Elephas maximus indicus: one gene and its partner. The protein of the gene in region 1 purifies or fractionates together with the protein of each later gene. This does not show direct contact. Links are inferred from orthologs where the notes say so. Each region holds a gene or a part of one and is shown on either strand. Other genes may lie near its edges.

Region 1 (8,047 bases):
ACACACATACACATACACGCAATTCCTTGTAAATATCATTTCTGGAGGGATACACAATAAAGTGGTAATATTGACTGCTTTCAGGGAAGGGTATTAAGTAGATGGGGCAAAGATTTTTTTCAATCTTTTGTACCTTCTCAATATTGAACCATATGAATGTATTATCTATTGAAAACAACAAAATAAATGTCAAAAAGAGTAATAAATACTGATAGAAAGAAGTAGAGAGAACCCTAGCTAAATTAATTTGGTTAAAATTCTTGAACAGTTCATTTCCAAACTCTTCACCTTGACATTCAAGGCTTTTCTACACGGTATCACTCTACTTTTCAAGTATGTCGACTATGGTCTAGAAAAGATATCCTAGGCAAATTAAAGACATTTTCCGTCACATTCTACTAAGAATTTCTTTAAAGCCATAAGCAAGCAATGTTTGACATAATAAAAATTTTGTGTACTAGACATGAAAAATGTCAGATTATATGAATCAAAAACTATATCCGCACAAATCTGACAGTATGATGCCCTCATCAGCTGTTTCACATATTTGATGGACAGGCTGTCCTGAAGAAAAACATTGATAAAGGAAGATCAAGAGATTCAAGAAATCCTTATGGTACTATCTGTAGCTACAATCAATACATACAGTTCTCTCTAAACTATAAATACCATTATAAATTGTGACACAGTGTGAATTTATCCTCTCAGTGAGGAAAGTTGCTGCATTACATCTTATCGTTGTTGTTGTTAGGTGCCATCCAGGCAATTCTGACTCCTAGTGATGCTATGTACAACAGAACGAAACAATGCCCAGTCCTATACCATCGTCACAATTGTTGCTATGTTTGAACCCAATTTGCAGCCACTGTGTCAATCCATCTTGTTGAGGGTCTTTCTCTTTTTCACTGACCTTCTACTTTACAAAGCATGACATCCTTCTCCAGGGACTGGTCTCTCCCGAAAACACGTCCGAAGTACATGAGACGAAGTCTCACCATCCTCACTTCTAAGGATCATTCTGGCTGTACTTCTTCCAAGACAGATTAGTTTTGTTCTTCTGGCAGTCCACAGTATATTCAATATTCTTCATGAACACTATAATTCAAATGCATCAATTCTTCTTCATTCTTCCTTATTCATTGTCCAACTTTCACATGCATATGAGGTGACTAAAAATACCAATCGCTTGGGTTGGGTGCACCTTAGTCCTCAAAGTGGTATCTCCGATTTTGAACACTTCAAAGAGGTCTTTTGCAGCACATCTGCCCAATGCAATACATTTGATTTCCTGACTGCTGCTTCCATGGGTGTTGACAGCAGACCCAAAGTAAAATGAAATCCTTGACAACTTCAATCTTTTCTCCGTTTGTCATGATGTTGCTTATTGGTCCAGTCGTGAGGGTTTTTGTTTTCTTTATACTGAGGTGTAATCATTACTTATTATGGAAAAACATAGAAAGCAAAAATGGGATGCTATTAGACTTTTTTGAAACTATTTGTTTTTTCCTCTTTCTAAGTTCATTCGGACAACAATTAACAGCTTCTGTAGTGGAAACTACCGACACGTAAATAAAAAATGTATATTCAGGAGAAGGTGTCATGTTCACTACTTAGATCAGAAGACAGAAGATGAGAAAGAGTAAAATACACTTGGAATACAATGTCGACGTATTATTAACTTGACCTCAAAAGAACTCCTGAAGCCAAGTTTCATGATCTTTACTAAACTCCAAACGGTGACACTTACTGTATAAAAAAAACCTGTTTTCCCACAAAACAGGCTCCTTACATTTCACCTAGAACAACGGGCAATTTTAAATGAAACAGATCTGCAGACAGACAAATCCATACTGGAAACAGAAGGCTATTTCTCTCTACATTTGGCTCCTCTCCATCATCTCTACAACAGTGCTGCGCGATATAACATATTAACTTATACCGAACATTACTTTTAATCCTTCACAAACATTTCTAATGTAACTTACCAAGGCAATAAAAAATTCTGCTTCTGGAGACAAATTTTACATTCGAGAATAAAAAACAGGCCTATAAGCAAAAAGAAATAAGAAATGAGTTATGATACATACTGAAAGTAGTAGAACTTTTAATGTCTTACATACGGAAATTGTGTCAAACCATGAAAACTGAAATGTAAGATTTTAGAGTAACATGTTACTTGCTACCTCATTTTTTCCCACTCCTAATTAAAATCAGAGACCACTACTTTAAGATCAGAGTCAACCAGCATTTAAGCAATTTAAATGATACCTTATCCATAGCAAAATTTCTATTATTATTTTAATTTCATTATCAGTACGGCTTCTTAAATAATGTCAAATGATTGCTTTTAAATACATACTTTTCCTTAGAGAATTAAATTGTAATGACATGAAAGTGTTTCCTATGTAAACACTCCGTTCCATCTCTATGTAAGCAAGTCTAAGCACGGTCTTTCTTCTCATTTTCATTATCATTTCACTATTCTGCATGCCATTGCTTCCCCCAAGTGCAACTCACCTCAATGACACAGGGCTTTAGTAGGAATAACGGTGATGATCGATAAGCATTAGTCTAGGTGTAGCAGTCTTCTCAAAGGACCTACTAAGGCAGAGGTATCATCCCGCATTTTGAAAATGACATCCTGAAAGGGATCTACCCAGCAGCAGCTCACAGCCCAGAAAGGGGGGACTGGGAGAGTCCCACAGCTGACACCACCCTTTGGCTGACACCTCGGGCTTGACTACGTCCCGCCTCGGGCAACGCCCTGTGAGGCAGCTCCACACTATCCCGATAAAACAAACTGGTTTCGGAGCCCCTTGGAAACGGGAGGCGGCAGCGGGGGGAGTGACTCCGTTACCGCATCTCCAACTTCAGAGGTGGTTGCTAGCGGCCTCAGCGGAGTGGGAGGGAGGGCAGCGTTTGGTCCGGGGAGGCTACCTGCCTGCGGCGTCCTGCGGCCTCGCAACGCCGGCTCTACACTCCCGGCTACGCGGAGGACCAACGCGGGGAAAGTGCTTGGGACTCCGAGCGGGGCACTCCGCACGCCAGCGCAACAGAACCCTGGTGCCGGGAGGCAGGGGGAGCGGTCAGTACGTCACTGGCGCCGGCGTGTGACGTCTACGCACGAAGGGGGCGTGTCTGTGGAGTGGCCCGGAGCGAGCGGCGAGGCGGGGCGGAGCCTCCCGTGAACGGGGCGGAGCCTCTGGGAACGGGGCGGGGCCTCGGGGCGGGGCGGGGCGGAAGCCGGCGGAGTCCGTGCGAGACGTTGTCAGGGCTCTGCTGACCTGAGAAGCCACCAGGGAAGGAAAGTAAATGTGGAAGAAGGTGGAAAAGTAGGAGTGTAAAGATGGAAGAAGTAAGATAGAGATAAGGGCGAAAGCTCCCAAATAGAAGCTAACTTGGAATACAGCGTATCATAAAATTGTCCCACACACACTACTCAAAGGAATTTTATCAAGCAAAAAAAAAGTACTTAATAGTATACAACTTAGGGTGCCACATTTTTAAAAAATAATTTTGCCTAAAAAGCTAGTTTTTTTTTTTTTTCTAGTATAGTTTGGATGATCAAAGCAAGGGAGTATTCTTAAACCTTGAAATTTTAAAAAGTTGAAAGGCGTAATGTTGTTTCCTACGCTTTGACATCTAGTGTGTGTACATATAAATTACCTGCCTGTATGTTGAACCGCTTGGCAGTGTATAGTATTCTAAGCACCTTTCTTCACTGCAAGTTCTCCGGAGATAGGACCAGATTCCCCTGAAGCTGTAACAAGGGATCAAGTCGGGTGTTGTCCCGAGTAGCCCTACAGCTAGGTTGCCTTACACGGAGTAACTCCGAGGCACTCCGAGGGAATCCAGGTGTCAAGCCGAAGGATGGCAACGGCTTTGTATGCTACTTTAGTTGTTGCACTCTGTATTGTACAAGTTGTCCGTGTGTTGTATACAGCCACGTTGGAAAGACCACAGATTGTGCCGGAGACCTCAGAGGTGAAATGATTCAGATTTTTGCTTCAAAAAAATCCACCCCTTCTCCCCCACCTCCTTTCCTCAACACTCTACACACCCGAGGTCATCCTTGGGTTCTTGTGTCTAGGTCTTTGATTTAGCATGCAAATTGAAAGACTTGGCTTTTTTTTTTTTTTTTTTTGCCAGAAGATGGCACTGCAAGTTATCCAACCTGGCAAGCTGGAGAAAATCTGCCTTGGTTTATGTCCTCTTCGGTCTCCATGCTGCTACACAAGGTCTGTTTTCCTCATTCGTCTAACTTCTGGGCTAACCTTCTGTGACCTTTCCCACCCCCAGTTAGTCAATAGGAATTCTGCTGTGTGCACAATAATTCTAGCTCTACCCACTTCCCTCTGTAAGCGAAGCAGCATGAAAACATTCCCAATTGCTAATCTGAGCAAATTCTTTTTTGCTGCTTGCATAAAGAACTAGTCAGAAACCTCCTTAGATAATTCTTTAGGTGCCTGTTGTAACTGTTAACGAGTATAGAAACTGCTACAGCCTTTCTAGAAGACATGCGTATGCTTTGACTCAGTAATTTGAGTTTTAGAACAACTGATAAAAGATGTGTATACAAGGATAACCATTGTTGTTTATAGCCAGAAAAATTACAATGTGAATGTCTAACAATAAGAAGTCAATTAAAGAAATTACAGCCTTTCCAAACAGTGGAATAATCTGGAACCATTTCAAAGGGTGATGGGGACCTATTTTGTTGACACAGGTGCCTTTGATGTATTGTTGAATATACAAAGCAGGTCACTCTAACCTGGGTTAAGAGGATTAATTGATGCTTTCATTTTCTGGCTTATATACTTCCATACTTTTCCTTTAACAGGAATGGTTTTCTATATCTTTCATTCTTTCCCTTTAAAAAATGTATTGCATTTTTCTTTTAAACAACTATGCTAGTCTTTGTTCCCTGCAGCAAAACAGTAGCATAGGTGTACAAAGATAAGGCCTAGAGTTTTTGTTCTCTGAACTCAACCTGGCACTCAACTCCTCCGTGAAACCCAGTGTTAACAGTTTCATGAATATCCATCTACATTTTTCTCTAAGTGCATAAAATCATAACTAAGCCTCTATTCATATATATTACTCTTAATTTTTTAATGGGATTATAGAACATACATTATTTTACAAACTGGACTTTTAAATTTAATAATATATTATGAAAATCTATCCAGGGATCAACTAATTGTTCCAAATGATATTAATGTTCCATGGTGTGGATGTACCCAAATCTATTCAACCATACCCCGTCCCTCCAAAAGACATAGCGAACGTTCCCAGTTGGTGTTATTTCTGAAAGATAGGTTCCTAAAAGTGGGTTTGCTGGGTCATGAGGTTTTTTGTTTTTGTTTTTCTTTTTCACTTTAATAGATAACCCTACTTTAGTTATGTATTGTATGTGACAAACCACCCTAAAACTTAGTGACCTAAAACAACAATGATTATTTCTTATAATTTTGTGGTTAGGAAATCAGGCAGGGTTCTGTTGGGTGGTTCTTTTGCTCCATACGGCATTGGCTGGGATCACTCACCTAGCTTTATTCAGCTAGCAACCGTACTGGACTGGATGATCCAAGAAGCTTCACTCACGTATCTAGTGTCTTGGTGCTTCGCCATATGACGTTTCTCTCTCCATATTACCATCTTGGGCTTGATCACAACATCGTAGTCATATCCTTTACATGCAGCTGGCTTTGAATAGAGAAGAAGTAGAAGCCGTCAGGAATACTGTAACAATATTTCCATTTTCAAAGGGTAGGCCCAGAATAGGTATCACTTCTGCCACATTCTTGGTCAAAACAAGTCACAAGGCCAAGCAAGATTCATGGAGAGGGGAGGAATCATGATAGCCATCTTTGGAGTCTATCTACTACCCACTGAATTGCTTTTCATAATAAAATTCACACTATCAGCAGCTTTATACAAAAAGTACCTGTTTCCACTACACTAAAAGTTTTTCTCTTAATTTTGTCAATCTGCTGTTGCACTTTTCACATTAGTCATTTGAATGTCCTCCACTGTGACTTGCCTGCCTTTCATATGCTTTGCCTTTTTTTTTTTTTAAATCAATTTATAGGAATTATTTGTAAGATACAAAACTTAATCCTTTGTCATATTGTGGGACAAATGTTTTCTGCCAGTTTCTGACTCAAATTTTGACTTGTTTTATGATGTCTTTGGCCATACAGAAAATTGTAAATTTTTATGTGGTATTTCCTTTGTCATTTAGGTTTCTAGCCTTGCAGATACTCCTTCAGGCCCAAGTTAACCAGATAACCTAAATGTTTTTATATTTTTTCGTTAAATATATTTAATGTATTTGAAATATACTTTTGTATAAGATTAAATAGGGAGATTAGCTTTCTGTTCTTCTGCAGGAAAGCCAATTATGCCAGGACCATTAATTAAATGTAAGCTTTATCATATATTAAGACTACCATTTGTACTTGTATCTATTTCTGCATTTCTGTTCCATTTACCAATTCCCTGTTTGTCTCTTCATTATTTTGAAAAAAAAAGTTTGTTTTTATAATCAGGAATACTGTAACAGTATTTCCATTTAAAAAAAAATTGCCAACATTAAATTAACTTTTAAAAATGTGACGATTGTATAAAGGGCACTTATACAAAGCCAACAGCCAACATCATCCTAAATGGAGAGAGTCTGAAAGCATTTCCCTTGAGAACGGGAACTAGACAAGGATGCGTTTATCACCACTCTTATTCAACATTGTGCTGGAGGTCCTAGCCAGAGCAATTAGGCTGGATAAAGAAATAAAGGGCATCCAGATTGGTAAGGAAGAAGTAAAAGTATCTCTATTTGCAGATGACTTGATCTTATACACAGAAAAACCTAAGGAATCCTCAAGAAAACTACTGAAGGTAATAGAAGAGTTCAGCAGAACGTCAGGATACAAGATAAACATACAAAAATCAGTTGGATTCCTCTACACCAACAAAAAGAACATCAAAGAGGAAATCACAAAATCAATACCATTCACAGTAGCCCCCAAGAAGATAAAATACTTAGGAATAAATCTTACCAGAGACATAAAAGACCTATACAAAGAAAACTACAAGACACTAGTGCAAGAATCCAAAAAAGACCTACATAAGTGGAAAAACATACCTCGCTCATGGATAGAAAGACTTAACATTGCAAAAATGTCTATTCTACCAAAAGCGATCTACAGATACAATGCAATTCCAATCCAAATTCCAAAACAACATTTTTTAATGAGATGGAGAAACAAATTACCAACTTCATAGGGAAGGGAAAGAGGCCCCAGATAAGTAATGCATTACTGAAAAGGAAGAACAAAGTGGGAGGCCTCACACTAACTGATTTTAGAACCTATTATGCCACCACAGTAGCCAAAACAGCCTGGTACTGGTACAACAAGAGATACATAGACCAATGGAAGAGAATTGAGAATCCAGACATAAATCCATCCACATATGAGCAGCTGTTATTTGACAAACACCCAAAGTCTGTTAAATGGGGAAAAGACAGTCTTTTCAACAAATGGTGCTGGCATAACTGGATATCCATCTGCAAAAAAATGAAACAAGACCCATACCTCACACCATGCACAAAAACCAACTGAAAATGGATCAAAGACCTAAATATAAAATCTAAAACGATGAAGATCATGGAAGAAAAAATAGGGACAACACTAGGAGTCCTAATACATGGCATAAACAGTATACAGAACATTACTAACAATGCACAAACACCAGAAGAGAAACTAGATAACTGGGAGCTCCTAAAAACCAAACACCTTTGCTCATCCAAAGACTTCACCAAAAGAGTAAAAAGATTACCTACAGACTGGGAAAAAGTTTTTAGCTAAGACATTTCTGATCAGCATCTGATCTCTAAAATCTGTATGATGCTGAAAAAATTCAACAACAAAAAGACAAATAACCCAATTAAAAAATGGGCAAAGGATATGAACAGGCACTTCACTAAAGAAGGCATTCAGGTAGCTAACAGATACATGAGGATATGCTCACTATCATTAGCCATTAG
Region 2 (8,279 bases), on another chromosome or scaffold:
GAAGTTGAATGAAAAGGGGAAAAAAATTTTTTTTTTTCCGAAATGAATGGTGAATGCCCACAAACCTTAAGAGTCTGATTTTTTAAGATGCAGTAAAAGACTACAAAGAAAGTTACTTTATGTTGACCTGCAAGCTAGATGTGATTAACAGGGTTTTTTTTTTTTTTTTTTTTTGCACTTTACAAAGCTCTAGAGTTATGTGTGTATATTCATTCTTTTTTTTTTTTTTTTTTTAATTTTTATTAAGCTTCAAGTGAACATTTACCATTCCAATCAGTCTGTCACATGTAGGTTTACATACATCTTACTCCCTTCTCCCACTTGCTCTCCCCCTATTGAGTCAGCCCTTACAGTCTCTCGTTTCGTGCCAATTTTACCTTCTTCCCTCTCTCTCTATCTTCCCATCCCCCCTCCAGTCAAGAGTTGCCAACACACTCTCCTGTGTCCACCTGATTTAATTAGCTCACTCTTCATCAGTAATATTCATTCTTTTTGTCTGATTTCTGGAACTTTTCCTGTTGATGATGAAATCTAAAATGCTAAAATACACTGCAGATTCCTTTGTTCCATGCCTGTTTACTATGAATACAAAAGTTTTTTACAGAGACCAGGAGTTCACCAACAACTGCCTGCCTCCCCCCACATCTGACACTCTGGGATGATACGCTCAAGTTTTCCTTTTATCAGAGAAGAAAAGCGGAGAGAAACATATTTACTGAGCAAACACTGGGGGCCTGAGTTTATTTCTCTAATCTTCCCAACAATACCGTGAGGTAAGCTGTAGCACTCTGCTTTTACAGCTATAAAGATGTGGCTGTAACAAAGAAGTAATTTGCTCAAGGCAATAAAGCTAGCCAGAAGTGCAACTAAGATTTAAAGCCAAATGTGTCTCATACCAAAGCTCTGTTCTTTGCCATTTGACAGGAATATTGTTCAATTCCAGAACCTTAAACCTGTTGCCGTCGATTCCGACTCATAGCAACCCTACAGGATAGAGTAGACCTGCCCCATAGGGTTTCCAAGGCTGTAATCTTAATGGAAGCAGACTGCCACATCTTTCTACTAAGAAGCAGCTGGTGGGTTCAAACCACAGACCCTGTGCTTAGCAGCCGAGCACTTAACCACTGTGCCACCAGGGCTCCTTCCCTGAACACTACCCAGGAGCTTTCAGGTTCTGGGGGAAGAAAATGGAGGGTAGGCAGTTTTATATGGAATGGTTTCTGCAGGTGAAGAGAACTGGTGCCAGGAAGTGTGAGATAAAGGGATAGGGTAGACCTGCTACCCTTGGGGGGGTGTTCCTACCCCCTTTTCTCATCTTGTCAGTGTTAGACTTTGCTGCTCCAGGGAAGGCTTGGTTGATAGATAGCTTGACACGAGCTTGGATGAAGCCTTGGAACTTATTTGATTGTTTAGAATATCTACCTATAGACAGATACAAAGGAGATATTGCAGCTATACTTTATTTCTTCTGTCCTAAGGAGTCAAAACAGGAGTCCCCAGGCGGCCCAAACGGTGGCTCAAACCCACCCAGAGGCAGCTTGAAAAAAAGGCCTGGCAATCTGCTCCAAAAGGGTTGGAATCAACTCAACGGCAACAACAACCAGAAAGACTGCTCAGATAACTGACAAAGGCGGCCAAGAATCATTTCTTGGCTGATTTTCAAAAAAATTGGGTATGTCTGATGCCTGGGGGTACTTCTCGGACAAAGGAGCAGTGCTGGTTGCTGTTATTTGCAGGACAGAAACGATTTGTTCATTCTCACAGTGGCCACAGGATAGACAGTTAATCTCCTTCACTGATGCAAACAAGGGTGTCTTTCTAAGTAAGAGGCCAAGTTCGAAGGCTAAACACCCGACTTATGAAACAAACCTCAGAAAGTCTGAAGTAGGATTATTGTTTCTCCCCGCTCAGAGCAAGTAAGACCAGAGACTTGCATACTCTTTCCAAAACAAAGAAACGCATTATTGAAAGCAAATGGCAGAAGGGAAATTTTGGCAAGATACCAGATGTGCCACGGTAAAAAGGCTTTTTAAGTAACACCTACAGTCTATTCGCAGAAGTCAGTGTGAGGAAGGGTCTGCCCTTGGCTGTGCAGCCCACTCCCTACCTAGCTACCTGTCCAGCCTACAGGTGAGCATTAAGCCTTGCTCTGAGTCCCCAGTGACCACCCGTGTGTCTTTCAGATCCCAGCTCCAGGCTACCTCCTCTGGGAAGTGCTTCTGGTCCTCCCTGGTCCCAGCTAGCCCTGGCTACTCCCACCTGTGGCTGCTCTGATTCCACAGTTCCTGTATGCTTTCCTGCCACTTCCCTCCCAAACATCACATCGTCTGGGGACAGGCCCCTTCCCCCAAGTACTTAATTACATACACGCTTCTTGTGGTCAGGTGCTGTGAGTCAGCTCTGACTTACATATGTTGTTGTGTGCTTCTGACTCATAGCAACCCACGGGGACAGAGTAGAACAGCAGACAGAGTTGAAAACCCGGAAGCCTTTCAAGGCTGCAATCTTCATGGAAGCTGACTGCCACATCTCTCCCCCACTGGTGGCTTTGGGTTAGCAGCCAAGCACCCGGGCTCCTTGATACACACGCAACAGAACTAAACGTGCCCTGTCCATGCTTAGGGAATCATGATTTCTGAGTCCCAGTCCTCGTCCATATGTCAGACCCATCCAGAGGGAACCATCTGCCCCCAGTAAAGCTATTTAAAACCGGGCAACGAGACTTGGAGAAAATTCTAGGTGTTTTAAGGAAAGGCAGCCTGTCTGAGCCTGGGTCCCAAACACCACCGCTCAGGGGGCGTGAAGGTTCTGGAATGGCCTTTGTGCCAGCGGCCACCTGGGCTTGAGGCAGCACCTCCCGCGGGCCCCGGAGCAGCAGGCCGCCAGGGCCGCTGTGGGGCGGCGGCGCAGAGGCTCGGCCCGAGGCGCCTCGGGCCCCGGCTCGCTCCGATCCCCTCGCGCTCCGGCTCCGCTCGCCGCAGCCCCCCGCCCGGGCGGAGATGCCGGCGGCAAGAACGCAGGGCGGCCCCGGCCCTCACCAGCAGTTGAGCTTTCGCACACTGTCCAGCTCCGAGGCCTTGGCCCGGGACAGCACCATCTTCCGCGTCAGCTTCATGGCGGCCGAGCTGCCCGGACCCCAGGCGGGCCTGCCAGGGCCCGACCCAGCCGCTCAGCCTCGGGTTCCGGCTCCGCGCCGCGCGTCTCCAGGGGCGGGGCGAGTCGTCAGGGGCGGGGCGTGTCGGCAGGGAGGGCCCTGCGAGCCCATTGGCGGCCCGGCGTGGGGCTTCCGCTGGGCACCCTCGGCCCCGCCCCTCCTCGACTCCGTCCGTGGTTTTGCGCGTGCGCAGTGTGATCTCTGCGTGTGGGCACATAATTGGGTGGCTCTATCAGTTCGGTCCTCACCGCCACTGTCAGGGACTGGGGTCGTCTCTCTGCTGCTCTGGCTGGTTGTTAGGTGCGGTGGAGTCGGTTCGGACTCATAGCGACCTTATATACAACAGAGCAAAACACTGCCGGATCCTGTCATCCTCACAATTGTTGCTGTATTTGAGCTTAGTGTTAGAGCCACTGTATCAATCCATCTGGTTGAGGGTTTTCCTCTGTTTCGCTGACCCTCCACTTTACCAAGCATAATGTCCTTCTCCAGGGACTGGTCCCTCTTGATAAATGTCCAAAGTACGTGAGACGAAGCCTCGTCATCCTTGCTTCTAAGGAACGTTCTGGCTGTCTTCCAAGACAGATTTGTTCATTCTTTTGGAAATGGTATATTCAATATTCTTCGCAAACACCATAATTCGAAGGCATCAATTCTTCTTTAGTCTTCCGTAGTCATTGTCCATCTTTAGCATGCATGAGGCTATTGAAAATACCATGACTTGGGTTAGCCGCACCTTAGTCCTTGAGGTGACATCTTTGCTTTTTAACACTTTAAAGAGGTCTTTTGCAGCAGATTTGCCCGATGCAATACATAATTTGATTTGTTGACTGCTGCTTCCATGGGCGTTGATTGTGGATCCAAGTAAAAGGAAATCTTTGACAACTTCAGTATTTCTCTGTTGATCATGATGTTGCTCATTGGTCCAGTTGTATTTTTTTTTTTATATTGAGGTGATAGTAACAAATTATGGATAACATCGCAAAGAAAGGGAATTTCAGAGCACTTAATTGTGCTCATGCAGAACCTGTGTATAGTTCAAGGAAAAGTTGTTCAAATAGAACAAAGGGATACCGTGCGGTTTAAAATCAGGAAAGGTGTGTGTCAGGGTTGTATCACTTCACCATACATATTCAATCCGTATGATGAGTAAATAATCGAAGAAGACAGACTATATGAAGAAGAATGCTGCATCAGGATCAGAGGAAGACTCAACAACCCGCGATATGTAGCTTGCCAACCTTGCTTGCTGAAAGTGAAGAGGACTTGAAGCACTTACTGATGAAGATCAAAGACTACAGCCTTCAGTATAGATTATACCTGCTCTGGCTTAGGGTGATTTAACTCTTGCAATAAAAAATCCAGGGAAGTTTTAGGGTGATGAGATTACATTTATGGAGAAGTTGTTAGTTGCTGCCCAGCCAGTTGATTCTTTCTGAAGCAGATCACTTGTCCTTTCTTCCAGGCATATCTGGGTGAGTTCTAACCACCAACCTTTTGGCTAGCAGTCGAGTGCTATTTGTTTCACCCACAGAAACCTCACATGTATTTAAACCTGTCAGGAACCAGAGAAGGAGTCCCTGGGTGGTGCAAAGAGTTAATACACTCAGTGAGTGGCCTGCAGAGGAGAAACCATTCTAGTAATGGAACTGCCTAGAGCCTGGGGTATGAGGCAGGGCTCAGCATGATGTTGCATAACTGATGATTGGGGGCAGTGTGAGACTGGAGGGTGGACAATCTCAGAGGGGTACCTCTCAGCTCTTGGCTTCCAAGCAGGGAGAGAGCATTCTGACTCCTCTTCATGGGGCTGACAAGGCTTGACCTCAGAGGAACGCAGAAACCAGAGTCAGAGCCACAAAGAGCAGTGGGGAGCTTCCAGCAGGCTTATGCTGTGTGTGCTTGCAGAGGGCTTCTGGACTGTCCCAGCTTGGTGGTATATCAGGTGGATGAGGGCAAAGCAGAGGCTGCTGAGAACTGACCTTTAGTGCCAAGATGTGGTGCAGAAGTATCCACAGAAAGGCTGCTGAGGTGTGGGAAACAGCACCATCCACAGAGGGAATCAAGAGTCTCCAGGCTTTGGCAAACCCCATCTTTTGCTCTAGGGAGGGCCAAGTAGGCAAATGCTGGAGCATCTTATACTGGGAGCAATGCCAGTGGGCTAGCCACTAATGGGAAAAGGGTGCCCTAGTTGCTGGCCCTGCTCATCCTTTCTTGACCCTACCTGGGTGAGATGGCCCCTCTCCCTGAATTCATCAGCACCTTCAAATAATTCAGACCCTTAGCCACCCTCTGGGAGTGTCTGGGTGGTGCAGATGGTTAAAACACTTGGCTGCTAACTGAGAGGTTGGTGGTTTGAATCCACCTAGAAGCACCTTGGAAGAAAGATCTGTTGATTTACTTCCAAAATATCAGCCATTGAAAATCCTGTGGAGCTGGGGACCATGGTCTTGGGGGATATCTAGCTCAACTGGCATAACATACTTTATAAAGAAAATGTTCTACATCCTACTTTGGTGAGTAGCATCTGGAGTCTTAAAAGCTTGTGAGCGGTCATCTAAGATACTCCACTGCTCCCACCCCATCTGGAGCAAAGGAGAATGAAGAAAACCAAAAACACAAGGGAAAGATTAGTCCAAAGAATTAATGGGTCACAAATACCACAGCCTCCACCAGACTGAGTCTAGCACAACTAGAATGTACCCAGCTACCACCATTGACTGCTCTGATAGGGATCACAATAGAGGGTCCCAGACAGAGCTGGAAATAAATGTAGAACAAAATTCTAACTCACAAAAAGAAGACCAAATTTACTGGCCTGACAGAGACTGGAGAAACCCAGAGAGTATGGTCCCCATACACCCTTTTAACTCAGTACTGAAGTCACTCCTGAGGTTCACCCTTCAGCCAAAGACTAGACAGGCCCGTAAAACAAAATGAGACTAAATGGGCACACCAACCCAGGGGAAAGGACAAGAAGGCAGGAGGGGACAGGAAAGATGGTAATGGGGGACTCAAGGTTGAGAAGGGGAGAGTGTTGACATGTCGTACTGTTGGCAACCAACGTCATAAAACAATGTGTTTATTAATTGTTTAATGAGAAGCAAGGATTAAGTTGAGTTGTAGGTCCAAGTGTGATGGTTTTAGTTCTGTCAATATGGCTAGGCTGCATTTCCCAGAATTCCCTTCCCAATATATAGTTCCAGGAAACCCTGGTGGCATAGCAGTTAAGAGCTACCACTGCTGACCAAAAGGCTGGCAGGTCGAATCCACCAGGCGCTCCTTGGAAACCCTATGGGGCAGTTCTACTCTGTCCTATAGGGTCGTTATGAGTTGGAAGTAATTCAATGGCAACAAGTTTTTTTTTTTTTTTTATTAACTTTTATTAAGCTTCAAGTGAACGTTTACAAATCCAATCAGTCTGTCACATATAAGTTTACATACATCTTTCTCCGTACTCCCACTTGCTCTTCCCCTATTGAGTCAGCCCTTTCAGTCTCTCCTTTCGTGACAATTTTGCCAGCTTCCCTCTCTCTCTATCCTCCCATCCCCCCTCGAGGCAAGAGTTGCCAACACACTCTCAAGTGTCCATCTGATATAATTAGCTCACTTTTCATCAGCATCTCTCTCCCACCCACTGACCAGTCCCTTTCATGTCTGATGAGTTGTCTTCGGGGATGGTTCCTGTCCTGTGCCGACAGAAGGTCTGGGGAGCATGGCCGCTGGGATTCCTCTAGTCTCAGTCAGATCATTAAGTATGGTCTTTTTATGAGAATTTGGGGTCTGCATCCCACTGATCTCCTGTTCCCTCAGGAGTTCTCTGTTGTGCTCCCTGTCAGGGCAGTCATCGATTGTGGCCGGGCACCAACTAGTTCTTCTGGTCTCAGGATGATGTAGGTCTCTGGTTCATGTGGCCCTTTCTGTCTCTTGGGCTCTTAGTTGTCGTGTGATCTTGGTGTTCTTCATTTTCCTTTGCTCCAGGTGGGTTGAGACCAATTGATGCATCTTAGATGGCCACTTGTTAGCATTTAAGACCCCAGATGCCACATTTCAAAGTGGGATGCAGAATGTTTTCATAATAGAATTATTTTGCCAATTGACTTAGAAGTCCCCTCAAACCATGGTCCCCAGACCCCCACCCCTGCTCCGCTGACCTTTGAAGCATTCATTTTATCCCGGAAACTTCTTTGCTTTTGGTCCAGTCCAATTGAGCTGACCTTCCATGTATTGAGTGTTGTCTTTCCCTTCACCCAAAGCAGTTCTTATCTACTAATTAATCAATAAAAAACCCTCTCCCTCCCTCCCTCCCTCCCCCCTTCGTAACCACAGAAGTATGTGTTCTTCTCAGTTTTTACTATTTCTCAAGCTCTTATAATAGTGGTCTTATACCATATTTGTCCTTTTGCCTCTGACTCATTTCGCTCAGCATAATGCCTTCCAGGTTCCTCCACGTTATGAAATGTTTCACAGATTCGTCACTGTTCTTTATCGATGCGTAGTATTCCATCGTGTGAATATACCACAATTTATTTACCCATTCATCCGTTGATGGACACCTTGGTTGTTTCCAGCTTTTTGCTATTGTAAACAGAGCTGCAATAAACATGGGTGTGCATATATCTGTTCGTGTGAAGGCTCTTGTATTTCTAGGGTATATTCCGAGGAGTGGGATTTCTGGGTTGTATGGTAGTTCTATTTCTAACTGTTTAAGATAACGCCAGATAGATTTCCAAAGTGGTTGTACCATTTTACATTCCCACCAGCAGTGTGTAAGAGTTCCAATCTCTCCGCAGCCTCTCCAACATTTATTATTTTGTGTTTTTTGGATTAATGCCAGCCTTGTTGGAGTGAGATGGAATCTCATCGTAGTTTTAATTTGCATTTCTCTAATGGCTAATGATCGAGAGCATTTTCTCATGTATCTGTTGGCTGCCTGAATATCTTCTTTAGTGAAATGTGTGTTCATATCCTTTGCCCACTTCTTGATTGGGTTGTTTGTCTTTTTGTGGTTGAGTTTTGACAAAATCATGTAGATTTTAGAGATCAGGCGCTGGTCTGAGATGTCATAGCTGAAAATTCTTTCCCAGTCTGTAGGTGGTCTTTTTACTCTTTTGGTGAAGTCTTTAGA

What was found. The genes of interacting proteins can lie anywhere in the genome.
Region 2: the proteins of NEK1 (region 1) and CFAP410 purify together in Homo sapiens (affinity purification with mass spectrometry; 3 studies listed by BioGRID and IntAct, with this or other methods). This does not show direct contact. The link is inferred for Elephas maximus indicus from reciprocal best matches to the Homo sapiens genes NEK1 and CFAP410.

What each region holds. Positions count from the first base shown.
Region 1 is NC_064839.1:65,458,763-65,466,809, forward strand, and holds the start of NEK1 (serine/threonine-protein kinase Nek1), read right to left. Parts: upstream 3,089-8,047; 5' UTR 2,518-3,088; intron 2,047-2,517; 5' UTR 1,986-2,046; intron 1,973-1,985; exon of another isoform or gene 911-1,972; intron 1-910. UniProt on the Homo sapiens protein: Phosphorylates serines and threonines, but also appears to possess tyrosine kinase activity. Involved in DNA damage checkpoint control and for proper DNA damage repair.
Region 2 is NC_064820.1:228,647,041-228,655,319, forward strand, and holds the start of CFAP410 (cilia- and flagella-associated protein 410), read right to left. Parts: upstream 3,216-8,279; 5' UTR 3,116-3,215; coding exon 3,039-3,115; intron 1-3,038. UniProt on the Homo sapiens protein: Plays a role in cilia formation and/or maintenance. Plays a role in the regulation of cell morphology and cytoskeletal organization. Involved in DNA damage repair.